Elephas maximus indicus: one gene and its partner. The protein of the gene in region 2 purifies or fractionates together with the protein of the main gene of each other region. This does not show direct contact. Links are inferred from orthologs where the notes say so. Each region holds a gene or a part of one and is shown on either strand. Other genes may lie near its edges.

Region 1 (7,986 bases), on a different chromosome or scaffold from region 2:
CTCCAAGGCACCTAACAACAACAACAATGGTCTGACTAAGACTAGAAGGACCCCAGAGGTCATGGTCCCCAGACCTTCTGTTAGCCCAAGACAGGAACCATTCCCAAAGCCAACTGTTCAGACAGGGATTGGACTGGACTATGGGATAGAAAATGATACTGGTGAGGAGTGAGCTTCTTGGATTAAGTAGACACATGAGACTATGTGGGCAGCTCCTGTCTGGAGGGGATATGAGAGGGCAGAGGGGGTCAGAAGCTGGCTGAATGGACACAAAAATAAAGAGTGGAGAGAAGGAGTGTGCTGTCTCATTGGGGGGAGAGCAACTAGGAGTACAGAGCAAGGTGTATATAAATTTTTGTATGGGAGGCTGACTTGATTTGTAAACTTTCACTTAAAGCACAATAAAAATTAAAAAAAAAATCAAAAGACGCGTTGCATTGGGTAAATCTGCTGCAAAAGACCTCTTTAAAGTGTTGAAAAGCAAAGATGTCATCTTGAAGACTAAGGTGCGCCTGACCCAAACCACCTTGTTTTCAATAGCCTGATACACATGTGAAAGCTGGACGATGAATAAGGAAAACTGAAGAATTGATGCCTTTGAACTGTGCTGTTGGTGAAGAATATTGACTATACCATGGACTGCCAAAATCTGTCTTGGAAGAAGCACAGCCAGAATGTTCCTTAGAAGCAAGGATGGCAAGACTACATCTCATGTACTCTGGACATGCTATCAGGAGGATCCAGTCCCTAGAGAAGGACATCACACTTGGTAAAGTAGAGGAAGACCCTCAATGAAATGGATTGACACAGTGATTGCAACAATGGGCTCAAGCATAACAACGATTGTGAGGATGGCGCAGGACCGGGCAGTGTTACGTTCTGTTGTACACAGGGTTGCTATGAGTCGGAACCCACTTGATGGCACCTAACAATAACAGACAAGTTATGGAGGCTCAGAGAAGAGAAGCTGAGTTGGATCTTAAAGAACATGTGGGAAGCTTTCTGGGTGGAATAGAGACAGAAAGGGCATGCCTGGTGCAGAGAAGAGCATGGACAGAGGCTAACTGGTGTGAAAGAGGCTCGAGGTGTGTGGGTTGAGAGATGCAATAACTGCAGAGAGGCTGTATTGCAGGGGACCCACTTGGGGCTTGGATTTCACCAGAGGGCAATAGGGAGCTACAGCAGGGCTTTGAGCAGAGGAAGGCAAGCTGGAAAGTGTACGTTTAGGAAAGGGGATAGAAGGCTGAGGAAAGACAGGACAACAAGGAGGAAGGGAGGAGCTTGAGCATTGGGCTTTCCTTGAATGTCTCTGTTGTTATCACTCCTTTCCAGCTCTAGTTGGACCGCTAGTCAGTAGGATCCCAGCTCCTCCACTTACAAGCAGCACGGCCTTAGGCAAAAGGTGGTACCTTTCTGGGGCTCAGTTTCTTCCACCGTGGAGTCGGGATGGACTAATAGCAAGGGCCCCATAGACCCAGTTACCCTGAGAGTGTTAAATGGAGGTTGGTGTGCCTGGCAGCTGGCTGCAGTGGAGGGACTTCCAAGCGTTGTGGGGAGCTAACCTGGAATCTCCCTGCCTCATCTGGGCGGGGGGGCAGTGTCTCCTCTGAGTCTCCCAAGTCTGCACCCCGCCCCCCCACCCACCCAGCCTTAGACTCTCCCTGCATCTGTATCCTTCTGAGTCTCTGCTTCTCTCCTTGGGAGTATTCACTTCCTCCTGTGTCATTCTCTCTCTCTGAGCCTCCATCTGGGCTTTTCTCTCTCCCCCTGCTGTCTCTCTTCTCCATTTCTCCAGCTGCCCCTCCAACTCTCCCAGCTGTCTCCCCATCTCTCCCTAATGTCTCTTCCCAATATTTCCTCTGTCTCTCCTCGCCGTCCCTCTGTCCCCACTGTCTCTCCATCTCAGCTCTCTTCCATCTCCCCCAAAAGTCTCATCTCTCCCTCAGTGTCTCCCCATCCCTTCCCACAGTCTCTTCATCTCCTCCTGCCGTCTCTTCATCTCTTCCCTCGCCCCTCACCCCGTCTCTCCTCCGTGCCCCTTACCTGGCTCACTCGGGGCCGGTGCCCGCCGCTCCGTGTCCGGCCTCGAGCGTGGCAAGCTGCAGGCGCACGCGGCGGGAGCCGGCGGCGGGCGGCAGGGGCGCGCGGGCCGCGCGGCGCGCTCCTCGGATCCCGGTCGCGGCGCGCGCGGCGGCCGAGGAGGCCGGCGCAGACCAGCGGCGGGAGATCTTGCGCGCGAGGCGGGCGAGCGCCGAGGGCCGCAGGCCGTAGTCGCGCTCGAGCTCCTGGCGTGAAATCTCGATGTTGCCGGTGTACCAGAGGATCCAGCCGAGCAGGCTCAGGAAGACGAGCAGTGCGCCCGAGTAGATGAGCAGGTCGCCGAAGTCGCGGCCGCGCACTTGAAGCTGCGCGAACACGCCGGTCAGCAGCGCCGCCATGCCCGCCACGTCCAGAGCCACCGCCAGCAGCAACGCCATCCGGCAGCGGCCCAGGCCTGACGCGGGCGCGGGTGCGGCCGCCGGCGGGGATGGGGCTCCGGGCGCCGGCCCCGGCGGGGTGCACGCCGCCGTCGCCGCCATGGCCCTGCGCCGCCGCCGCTGGCTCCGCGAGAGGGTTCCGGGTGCGGCCTGTCCCGGGGCGGGGTCAGTGGACTGCGCCAGGTATGCAGGGCACCCGCCTGGTCACCTGAGCGCCCACGGGCCGGGCTCGGAGGCTCTCTGGAGGTCGTTTCTGTGCTGGAGCAGCCGGGCGCGCAGATATGGGTGGCCCAGGGCCCCTGCACCCCGAAGCAACACGTAGTCAAAATCCAGGGGGCCCTAAAGGAGGCAGCATAGGGCACTGCGGGAAACCAGGGCGCTGTTACTGTGCAGTGCAGCTTCCTGAGGCCTCCTATGCGCCAAGCCTGGTGGTAGGGATACCAAAAACCAAACCTGTTGCTGTGGGGTCCATTCTGACTCATGGGGACCCTATGTGTGTCAGACTAGAACTGTGCTCCGTAGGGTTTCTGGCTGTAATTTATACGGGAAGCAGGTCGCCAGGCCTTTTCCGCAGCACAGCTGAGTGGATTAGAACCGTTTGCATCACCCAGGCACCTATATAAAAAAAAAAAAAAAAAAAAAAAACCTATAAAAAAAAATTGGGAGGGGGGGATAAATTAAAAACAAAACAAAAAAAACAACTAAGCGCTTTTGTCATCGAGTCGATTCTGACTCACAGTGATCCTATAGGACAGAGTAGAACTGCCGCATAGGGTTTCCGAGGAGCGGCTGGTGAATTTGAACTGCCCACGTTTTGGTTAGAAGCTGAGCTCCTAAACACTGTGCCACCAGGGTTCTATAGTGGGGATAGGGGAAGGCAAACAAAACAAAACAAAACAAAAAACAGACAAGACACCTACCTGTACCCCAAGGAACTCTGGGATGCAGGGAATGAAGTCAGAGTGCTAGAATCAAAGGAAATGCGGACTCTGCAGGAGCCGAGAATTTCTTTCTGTTTCTGTCACTGCGTGCCTGCCTCATAATGAATGAAACCACAGGCACAGAGATTGGTGGGTCTCACTGATCATCAGATTCAGAGCTCCAGCGGAGGTGGCACAGGGCACTCAGGTTTGCTCAGAAGCTTTCTCCTGAGGCCCCTGAACTGTCCAGGACTCCTTGTGGGTGAAGCCCAAGTGCACAGAGATGGATCCAACAAGGAGGCCCTGGAGTTCCCAGACGTCATCACCATTCCACGTGCGCAAACGGAGGTGGTATAAGGCATTGTCCTTGCTGTTTTGGTAAGAGTCCCTTGAGGCATCCCCAGTGCCAGCTACTGAGGACACGGAACTACAACAGGCGCCGTCCCTGGCCCTTAAGGATGACTCTGGCAAAAGAAAATAAACTTCCAGGAAGTTGAATGGAGGATGAAACATATCGGAAGGCACACTGGTGGCGCAATGGTTAAGCGGTCAGCTGCTAAACGAAAAGTCAGGGGTTCGAACGCACCAAGGGGCTCCGCAGAAGAAGGACCTGGTGATCGACTCCCATGAAGAAACCCTGTGGGGCAGTTCTACTCTATTACATGGGGTCACCATGAGTCGTAATCGACTCGACGGCACACAACATAGGGCAGCCTGGAAGGGGTGATGGGGACTGGAAGGGCGAATGGGGATAGGAGCGCAGGGCGCGTATTGAACCCCTAAATTGAACAGAAGCTTTCACGTGTAAATTTCTTCTCCTCCAAACAACTCGCCCTTTAGGGAAATCTATGCTCCCCTGGGATGGCAGCCTGCAAGGAGGTTCCGCCTAGGTTCTCCCCAGACTCAGCAGTTTAGGAGGAACCTGGGGAGGGAGAACTAAGAGGAAGTTGCTGGGATTAGCCGAAGGTTTCCGAGCGTGGCCGAATGGGGACCGAGCAAACCCGAAGCCGGCATGGGCGAATAAGGGAAAGCGGAGGCCACGACGGAGAGCGTTTCCGGAGAGTTCCGAAAATGCCGAACGAGCCTGGGTGCCTTCGTCGGGAACAGCCGAGGGCTTACGAAAGAAGACCAGAAGTGTCCGAAGACGCTTGAGCGAGACTTAATAGTTAACTCATTCGCTATGAGTCGGAATCGACTTCACGGCAGCGGGTTGGGTTTTTTGGTTTAACTCATTCAAACATTCATTCATAAAACGAATATTTATTTATTGGGCGCCCATCATATGCCAAGCATAGTGCCAAGCGCACTGGAAGGAGCCGCCTGTGGAATGGGACTCGGGGAACTCGAAGCTTTCTAAATGGACCACTCGAAAATCCAGCCGAGAGGTTCCGAAAACTCCCGAATGATCTTCGGGACAGAGACTTTCTACGTCTGGGGAACTCGCCTTCCGTTTCCTATCCAAAGAGTTACAAGGATTTTCGAGCAGTGCGCGTCTTTTTGGCGGAAATAGCCGAAGATTACCGAGCGACCTTGGAGGCGGTGCCAGAGAGAAGGAGGAGGCGGGGACAGGCGGTTTCACAGGCTTGAACAGAGCGGAAGCGGAAATGCGTGTGTGGTATTAAAGGAGTCGCCCCGCCCCCTGCCTGCCTCTTTCCGTCTCCGGCAGCCGCGAAGAGAGGAGGTTAGAGTGCTTCGTTCCTTGCGCCCGGCGTGGTCGCCGTCTGGTGCCCGCCGTCTGTAGTCTCTGCCCCCTTCCCCCGCCCGGCTTCTCCCATCGCGCCTCCGAGGCCGGAGGGTCCTCGACTGCCTCCCAGCCCCTCCGCCGGAAATCACTGTGGTCTTACTTTCTCCCCCCCCCCACCATGCCCCGCAGTTAGTCTCGGCTGCCTGAGTTCAGCCGCGCATGACAGTTCTGGATTGCTGTCTGCATTCAGGGGTTCCCCATTCACCCAAGTTCCCAATCATACGACGTCGGCCTACTTTTCCGCTTGAGATCGTTCACGTGTCCCATTTCTTCGCAGCTGGCGCCATGTCAGCACATCTGCAATGGATGGTTGTGCGGAACTGCTCCAGTTTCCTGATCAAGAGGAACAAGCAGACGTATAGCACTGTAAGTGGGGCCCAGAGCGCTGGGTCTGAGGGAGAAAGGGTTCGGGCCGGGACTCGCGGTTTGAGGGAGCAGTAGGCTTGGGCCCAGGACTCCCGGGTCTGAGAGTGATGGGTTCTGGGGGCCCGGATTCCGGAAGAAGGGGGCCTGGACCCTGGTTTTGGACCTGAGGAAGGACCCCCACGCATCTCTAGTTTCCTCTTCACCATCCTGATGCCCCATCCCCAGGAGCCCAATAACCTGAAAGCCCGCAACTCCTTCCGCTACAACGGGCTGATTCACCGCAAGACTGTGGGCGTGGAGCCGGCAGCAGATGGCAAAGGGGTCGTGGTGGTCCTGAAGCGGAGATCGGGTGAGCATTGGCCCTGGGTTGACATGGACATCAGGCCCCCTTTTGCCCCAGGGACTCAGGCAACAGGAGTAATTCTACCAGAGTTTGAGAATACCTGGGTTAGGATATTGGCTTGGGAGGCCAGCTTCCATCTGCCACAACAGGTCACTTAGCCTGGTTCTCATCTGTAAAGTGGAGAAGCTGTTGGAACGTGAACTTCAGTGGGTGGCTGTGAGAATTAAAGTACATGATGATGAGATATTTTCAGGTTAAATTCTCAAATCTGAGATGGAGGTGGATGTGTCCACCTCACAGATGAGACTGGAGTTGCCACATGTAGCAATTACAGGCTGGTTTGGAACCAAGCGGTTTAGTTTGACCACCAGCCTGCCTGTGTGTGGATTCAGAGAAGGGTCCTGGGCACCTCCTTTATAAACTGACTTAGGCACAGGTGGGGCCTTGTTTAGGGTCTCTGAGCGTGTGTGGGCTGGGGAAAGGTCTGGGAGGCAGGAATCTCCTGGGCTAACAGTTGAGTCATGGGGTGTCCCGTTACACCCTTGTGCTTGAGAATGTAGGAATGAGTTGGCTTTCCCAGATGCTTGCATGGGGCTGGTTTCCGTTCAGGTCTTGTTCAGGAACATTCCTTGGTCCTAGCTGCCACAGGTTCTTCCACTTCTGAGTTCTGACGTGCTGGGTCCTGAAAACCTTGTTTTCCTCTCTTGGGTTCCTAAAGAAAAGGGTGGCTTTCCTTGTGTTTTAAGGGACTGGATTGGCGTGAGGAGTATAGCAGTCCCTACTTTGGGGCCTGGTGGTACAGTGGTTAAGCAGTTGGCTGCTAACCAGAAGGTTGGAGGTCCGAACCCACCAGCCACTGCACAGCAGAAAGACCTGGTCATTTGCTCCTGTAAAGATTACAACCTAGAAAACCTTATAGGGCGGTTCTGCTCTTTTGCACGGGGTTGGTATAAGTTGAATTGACTCAAAGGCACCTAACAACTTTAGGGGTTGGGTTTAAGGAACTCCATCAAGTCTATCAAAGCCTCGGGATGGCGGGTGGGGCATGTCCTCTGGAGGAGAGCTCTGCAGAGACATCTGTCACCAGGAGCACAGGGTTCTAACTGCAGCCCCCATTGGGGCTGCCTGGTTTCAGGTCTTGACTGGGAGTCTGGTGGCCATGGCACAAGAAAGGGAGGGAGGTATTTCCACAGGTGGGTGTGCAGGGGCGTGGGAGGTTGTTTCTTTGTGATTGCTGTTAGCACAGATGAGGGCCAGGGCTCTTCCTCACACCCTGTGTTCAGTACCCTCTCTTGTTACTCCAGGCCCTGGGGAGGAGGGGACAGAAGGCCAGAGCTGCAGTCTTGCCTTTTTTTTTTTTTTAAAGAAATTGAAGTATATTTAACATACAATTTGTAAGTTGAAATAGCATTCCCACTAGAGTTAAACATACCCCAAAGAAGAGAGAACTTACAAAGACTTTTGTGTCCCAGCTTATGGTTAGTGCACCCTTGCTTGTCTCTCTCTCTACTAATGCTCTGGTGCGCTCACGACCTGGCCGGCACAGTGCACCTGCTTCACCTGTAGCATGGAGTTTTGGGGTCAGGTGGCTTAGATTCCAAAATTTGCAACCATGCTTTACGCATGTGACCATGAATAAGAGTATTGTCACCTCCATGTTGGCCATTTCATCCTTTCAAGGAAAGTGGAGATAGCTGCTGTGCTAGGGTTACCGTGAGGATGAGATGGATGAGAAGTGCCCAGGGCTGCCCTGCCCCAAGGTGATCACCACTCGAGTGGTAGAGTGGCTGCTGGTCCTGCCTGAGGAGGCTGGGGGAGGGGAGGGGAGTCAGGTGGCCTCCTTACACCTGGGAGGGACACCCAAGGCTTCACAGTCCCACTGACCAATGGGTGACCCTTCCTCCCAGGCCAGCGGAAGCCAGCCACCTCTTACGTGCGGACCACCATTAACAAGAACGCCCGGGCCACTCTGAGCAGCATCCGCCACATGATTCGCAAGAATAAGTACCGCCCCGATCTGCGCATGGTAAGCGGGGCCCAGTGGGTGAACCCTGAGGTGCCCTGTGTTTCTCACTACCCAGGAGCTGTGTTTGGGGATGGGAGAGATCAGTGGACTACACTTGAATGGCTGGTTTG
Region 2 (7,146 bases):
TGGGCCCTCTTTGTATTCCCAATGCCTAGCAGAGGGAGCTGCACACAGCATGTACTCAATAAATGGTTGCTGAATTGATCACGTCTTACACGTGTCCTCCAATAAGCACAGAGGCAGCAGGAGCGTTCAGGTCTAACTTTAGGCCTTACCCCATTGTTATGTAGAAAATAAACACATCCTCCATTTATCAATTATCTTGCTTAAACAGTTCAAAACATATAAATGATCACAATTATTGCAAGCTTTAAAGAGGGCAACAGTGGGAGCCAAGGAAGATCTTGGCAAGAGATCTCTGAGAATCATAGCACCAAGTATGCCTTTCCCAGAAAGAAGAGGCACCAGGTCAGAGAAACCCTAGTCAGTAACTTAACTGATTCTACTAATAAACCTAGAAAGCCTATGTTCAATCAGAAGGCAGAGCTAGGAGTGAAAAGTAGGTAATTGAAGCACAAAAATAAAATAAATTATAACAGTTTACATTACTGTATGATTACTGGTGCCTAGAACTATGCCAAAAGCTTTACTTGCATTTTCTCATTTAATCCTTACCATTACGTGAAGTTGTACAATTATCATGCTTTTTTAGAGGAGAAACCTACAGCTGGGTAGTTGATAATTCACCTGACACCACAAAGCTAACAAGGCACCAAGACAGGACCTGAATCCAGAACAATGACTCCAGCATCCAGAGCTGGTAATATTAAACATTTAAGTTAAATAAGTAACCAGATCTCTGGAGTTTCCCATCTAGAGATCCCCATGTAGCTAATACCACGAAGTAAGACACACCATGACTTCCTACAAGAAGAAAGCATTTCCTTTGGTTCCTTCCTAGTGATCCTCAGCATTTTCTCATCCTTGTGCCACAGTGGCCAATGGAGTCTTTGTCTTCAGAAAGCAGACTCCAAGGCCACCTGGACCCCATTTCTTGCTTCTAACTGGTAACTCACAGGTCATGTAGTTGTAAATACAGATGACATTCTTCCCCCTGAATACATCATCTTATATTTGCTCACACTAAAAGTTTAGAAGATGTTCCTGTAATTATACAAAGAGATGCACTCCAAGCACTATATGTAAATTAAAATGGAAGTCTAAAAAATGTTTTAGTAACCCACAGAAAGATAGGAAAAATAAAACAGAAAACAAGGAACAGGAAACAAAAAACAAAATGGAAGACTTAAGCTCTAACATATCAACAATTACACTAAATAAAAAAGCCCAAATTCACCAATTAAACAGAAATTGACAGTGGATTAAAAAAAAAAAAAAAGACCCAACTATATGCTGTCTACAACAAACTAACATACAATGTGGATGTAGCTTACTCTTAAAGATAGGAAGATAATAATGGTTTGAGATAAAGTTCTAAAAGATAGTGAATAGATTATTAATGATGCCCAAAAGAGGCTAACAGGCTGACTCATTAGGGGGAGAGCAAGTGGGAGTAAGGAGTAAGATGTATATGAACTTATATGTGACAGACTGACTTGATTTGTAAACGTTCACTTGAAGCTCAATAAAAGTTAATAAAAAAAAAAAAAAAAAGAAGCTAACAATTTAGAGGAAGTCAGCTTTGCTATTCCTAATTATACCAGGAACTATTTGGGGTGGGGGTGCGGGGGGGTGAAGAAATGCAAAATGCAAATATCCCAGAGTTACCCGGTAATTTTTCTCTAAGTTTGTCTTTTCATTATAGTTAAGTCTTAATGTGAACATAAAAGACAAATAGTATAATTTGGTTTCTAGAAAGATAGGAGTCACATGTTAATTTTCTAAAGACTTGACACATTTCTAGAAGAGCATCTAATTGCATAAAGCAAGTACCTGGGTACTGTACTTGTGTTAAAAAACCATATCTCTTTTCTTCATGCCTGTTCTCAAGCAGTTGAATGCTGCTGGAGGAAAACCACACAACTGGGTCAAGTGGTTTAACTTTAAACTCATGATCACAAACCTCAAATCGGTACCCAATGCCAAGGCAGTCCTGCTAGGTTTACACAGTAAACTTGCTTTCCCTCTCCCCTGCACTGGCAAGCCTCTTCACTTTTGTCACCTTATTATCATGGTAAAAGCATCCTTGTTCCTATCCAAGGTCAATCCTCTTCAGGTGCTATGAACCCTGTTTGCTCATATCTTTCATGGATTTCACTCCTACTGTCAAATCTTCTCTTTTCTGCATCACCCATCACCATCACCCTCTCCACAGCACACAATCACACTCTAGAACTCTACTATCTATTAAAGCATTCTCTCCCTTGGCCCATGTCCTTCTACAGTTATCCCCAAATTTCTCTGTTCCCTTTGACAAAAAAACTTGTCTTAAGTTGCTTATATGTGCTGTCTCTATTTCTTCACTTTCCCATTCACTTTTCAACCCACTTTAGTCAGGTCCACCTTCCAATTTACCAAAGCTAATCTAGCCAAGGCCATCAATATCCTCCAGTGACCTCCAAAGTGACCAATTCATTAGCCATATCTCTGGCCCAAGTTTACCAGACCTCTCAGTAACACTAAACACAACTGACCATTCCTCTCCTTCCTGAAACCCTCTCTGCCTTTGGATTCCACAACTCAACACTATCATGGATTTCCTTCTACCTTCCTGGTTGATCACTCTGTGTCCTCCATTAACCTATCTCTAAATACTGGAGTGCCCGAGATGATCTTGAAGTCAGAGACCAGAAATTGACAGCTCAGATGTGTGCTTTAATATCATGTAGTTTAAAAACATCTACTTTAGTTGTTTGCCATCGATCTGATTACAATTCATAGCACCCTACAGGACAGGGCAGAACTGCCCCAAAGGGTTTTCTAGGTGAAGTCTTTACTGGAGAGGCCAGGTCTTTTCTGCTGCAGAGCAGCTGGCAGTTCCGGTAGCAGCCCAGAGCTTAACCAATGCACCACCATGACCATCTGAAAACCTGGAGAATTATATTTAAAAAACCATATGCCTGGGTCTCTTGAAAGAAACCAGAGGACTTGTCAATACTGGGCCGGCATTATCATAACGGAACAATCGACTGAGTGGAGCAAATGCTGCCCCCTTGACGCTGAGTCCATTTGTTATCCGTGATATCTAGGTAAGGGGGTTGACAATACAGTCCTGAGTCAGATTCTCAGAAGCACTAAAGGGATCTTCTCACGAAGACACCGGAACACCTTCCAGGCAGTCCTCAGTCAACATTTTCGCTGGCCGCTTAAGGTCCACAAGTGCAAGCTGGGGAAAGGGGAGGCGGCCACACTATTCAGTGCTGAAGGACTCCGCCCACAGACAACTTAGAAGCTCATAGGCAAAGACAGAAATCCACGTTTTAAAATACAAAATTACACTGCACCGAATACACAAAATATCCTTTCAGCAAAAGACGGACCGCTCTGGTCTTGTAAAATCCTCAAGTCTGGTCTTAAGCTGGCCTCTCTGGGCTGAGGTGGGCTGTGGGTCACCGAGTGGAGGTCTTCACCCTCCTCTCTCGCACCTGGTTTCAGGAGGCCCTCCTCTAGGGCGGAAAAAGTAAACCAAATGTCGCTGGGCAAGGACAGCCCTCCTTCGCCGTTTTCAGGTGCTGGATCCAGGCTGGGGAGATGGGAGCGCGCTGGGACAAGCTGAGCCTTTCTCCGTGGCAGCCCACGACACGGCGTTCGGAGGCCGGGTTCGGCCCGGCTAGGCGGGGACTGGGGCGGGGCTGGGCCCAGGAGCCGCCTCAGCCTCACGGTTCGGCCTCGCGCGCGCTTCCTACAGCTTTCCCTTCCCCGCCCCCGCAAATCTCCCGGGGTTCCGGGTGCTGGAGGCTGCAGCCAGGAAACCAGGTCAAGAGCGCCGGGGACCCGGGACAGCCCAAAAGTTGCGGCCTGGGCCCCAAAAAGCCCCGCCCAGCAGGACCCGGATGGCACGACGCCCACAGGGCCCACGCGTGACGGGCGAGGGCGCGGGAGGGCGCGTGCGGCGTGACGCGACTCCGGGCGCGTCCCGTGACGCCATCGCGCCGGGTTTTGAAAGTTGGCGCCCGGGGCCGCCTCCCATGCTGCCCCGCGCCAACCCCTCCCCTCACCTTTCCTCCCCCGCCTTCCCCTCGCCGCCCGGCCGGCCCCCCCACCCGTCCCTTCCCTTATCAGCACCCGCGGCCCCGGCAGCGCCGACGCAGGCGCACTTCACCGCGCCGCCGCCATTTTGTGTCCGAGCCTGTGGAGCGATTAAACCGTGCGCGGAGCTGCTTCTTTGGCGGCAGCGACGGTGGCGGTGGCCGGTGCAGACGCGCGGAGCTGGCCGGGGACGCCGGGTGGCCGGAGCGGGGGAGCGGCGGCGGAGCGGGCGCCGCGGGGGGTGTGGCGCGGAGGTAAGGGGGCCCGGGGTGGAGGAGGTTTCGCGGGCCGCCTCTAGGTGTCACGATGGGGCCGCTCCGGTCGGCGCTGGCTGCAGCCCGGCGCCAGCGCCGCCGCCGGGGGGTGTTTGTCTCCCTCTACCGTCCCTGCTGCGGCGCGGCCGCCGCCATTGCCCGTCGCCGCGGCCCGGCCTGCCCCCCCTCGCCCGCCCGCTGGGCCTCCCTCCTGGCGGCGCGATAGGCCTCGGGCGGTGGCGGCGACCGAGGCCCGCGCGCCCGGCGACTCCATTTTCCTTCCTTTGTCTCTGCCCTCGAGGCCGGCTCTTGGCCCGGCCGATTGCCCGGCCGCGGCCCGCCCTGTGTCCTCCGCCCCTCCCGCGACGGGTGGCCCCAACCGAGAAGCGACCTCTTCGCCCTGGCTTCCGCAACCGCCTCGCCCAAGGGTCCGGACCGCTACCACCATGCGCGCAGTCGGATCTCCGTCCAGTATGGGTGTCAGACCCTGGCCGACGCGTTCCGGGTTGCCCATCCTTCCGCCCGCCGGGTCCCCGGAGCCTACCGGGCCGCCTGTGTGCGTCCCCCGCCGCTTGGCTGCTGGGCGGTCGCTCCCAGTCTGCACGCCGTCGCCGCTTGTCTCCGTCTCCGCCGAGTGGCGCAGGCGGCGCTGCTGCGGCTGCGAGCAGAGGGGCCCCAGCGCTGCCGAGAGCTCCCTCTGCAAGGCTGGCTGAGCTGCTCGCGCCTCAACGCCGCCTGAGCGGGCGGGGGGACGCGCGCTCGCCGCCCCCGCTGGGCCCCGCTGAGCCCCCAAACTCGCGCCGGGGCTCCTCGCGCGACTCAGCGGGTGCGGCCCCATGGTGGCTGGAAAAGACGCGCGCGAGTTCCGCACCAAATAGCTCCTTAGAGTGATAGCAGCCTGACTTTGTGCGCTAAGAGATCTCAAAGGGATTGGAACTTAATTTCACTCTGATCTCAAGTGACAGTGACAAATTCCTGAATTCGCGAGTACGGGCTAAGTTCAAGCAACCCCTAAGTTTGGCTCCCGCTTTAAAATGTCTTGATGTTAATTTACTGTACACCACTTAGTACCTGATGCTCTAGGGCTGGGCGAAAGCAGTTCTGTCCTGGGATTGTGCAACTCGATCTAAAGCGCCAGTAGAGCAGAATGAATTTATTCTTGACTGGACTGGTAATTTGCCCATACGCTGAAATATGAGGGTTGATGTTGTAATTGAATCCTGGGTCACTCGGTGCAGATGGTTTATAAATATCTATGCCTGTTAGTAGTTAACTTCTTGTAGGTCTGAGATCGGCATTAAGTAAACATACACATATATGTGTTTTCATGCTTGCTTTGAGTTTAGATCAATTAGGAAAGCTAAAATTCCGCGTCCCTGTGGGCGGAAAAAGAAATTCAACAGGGCATGTATTTAAACTTACTTTGTTTTTAAGTCTTGCATCTTTCAAAACTTCCTGTTGAACAACCTATGTTTTCTCTTTTTGCGTTTTTTTTTTATTTTAGTAACTTACTATAGTGCTGTGCAGCAGCTGATGTATTAACTTGGGTGACTTTGGAGAGAAGAAAGTCTAGATTAACTTTTTTTTATTAGGAAGAAAAACTGTTAAGCTTATGAGGAAATTAAAACAGGCCGGTGCTAAACAAATTCATTGGGTCCACTGTATGTAATCTTAATCTGTAGGTTTTGCAGCAGTCTGCCTCTGTAGAAGAGTATTTCAGCATCTCTTTTTACAACCATAGAAAATGGTCCTGCCTCTCAATAAAATCAACGCTAAGTAACTACGTGCCAGTAATTTTGGTGGAGTGTTGGACTCGGGAATAGAACCACCTCTAATTGTCTAATGTCTTAATCCATTTGTACAATTTTTTGTGTTTTATGGTTCTCGGTTTTATTTTTCTTTTGAAACTGTGAGGGCCTATGGCTTATTTTATTAAAATGAGCTCTGCATATGGGTAAAAAAAAATTAAAATCCACAAAGTCTTTAGTTGACCCAGGAGTAAAGCATTCCTAGATTAGCGTTCTGCTCCACCGCGCAGACCACACTTGGCTCCTCTCTTCGGTTGTCCCGTGTGCAGTCATCGTCTTCCTGATCTTACACATTTATACTGTCTTAATGGTGTAAATGGTATAAACCATGCACCTTGTCCACACAGTTGTCATCCTTTGAGATTCTTGATGCTCTGTTTTTATTGGAAAACTAAATCTACAGAGAGAATAAATTGAGAATATGAGGTAACCCAAAGGAATTTACTATTTAAATCAGTAGTATGAGGAAGGTTACAACAGGAATGTCTGCCTATGTAAAAAAATATTGCTTACTTAAGAGCAGTTGTAAAAGTTACCCATAGGAATCCATTTAACCTACATAAGAAAACTTAGGACCTGTAAAAGTTACCCTTAAGGGCCATCCAAATTCTAAGAATTGAGTGTTCAGTTTTTGTTTTAAAGGACATACAAAAATGAGGGTATCCACCTGGGACTTCTCTCATGGTTTGGGGAGTTCCTTGGGTGTGGCAGAGGCCACCTGTGGCTGACTGGGGCCCTAGGGAGGAGTGCTGTGGCAGAGCTTTGGACAGAAATGCCTGCTGGCAGAAAGTCACCACAAGAGCAAGGTTTCTTTCTTCAGGAATGCTGCTGGCATTGAAGCCAATCTACATCAAGTTCGTTACTTAATAGCTGCATCTCATTTTTTAAAAATCAGAAATGTAACTTGGCCATTTTTCTACCTTATTTATTTTGGGTTCAAGTGACTTCAGACTGTTTTGCCAAAAATTAAATCTCTTTTCAAACAACTAAGATTTGTCACA

The links. Proteins that work in one complex are often made in the same cells at the same time.
Region 1: the proteins of CTCF (region 2) and RPL28 purify together in Homo sapiens (affinity purification with mass spectrometry; 3 studies listed by BioGRID and IntAct, with this or other methods). This does not show direct contact. The link is inferred for Elephas maximus indicus from reciprocal best matches to the Homo sapiens genes CTCF and RPL28.

What each region holds. Positions count from the first base shown.
Region 1 is NC_064829.1:91,615,189-91,623,174, reverse strand, and holds the start of RPL28 (60S ribosomal protein L28), read left to right. Parts: upstream 1-4,976; 5' UTR 4,977-5,078; intron 5,079-5,418; 5' UTR 5,419-5,426; coding exon 5,427-5,507; intron 5,508-5,732; coding exon 5,733-5,856; intron 5,857-7,757; coding exon 7,758-7,876; intron 7,877-7,986. Other genes in the region: TMEM238 (transmembrane protein 238), read right to left, coding at 2,049-2,579.
Region 2 is NC_064839.1:34,059,639-34,066,784, forward strand, and holds the start of CTCF (transcriptional repressor CTCF), read left to right. Parts: upstream 1-4,129; 5' UTR 4,130-4,337; intron 4,338-5,424; exon of another isoform or gene 5,425-5,508; intron 5,509-7,146.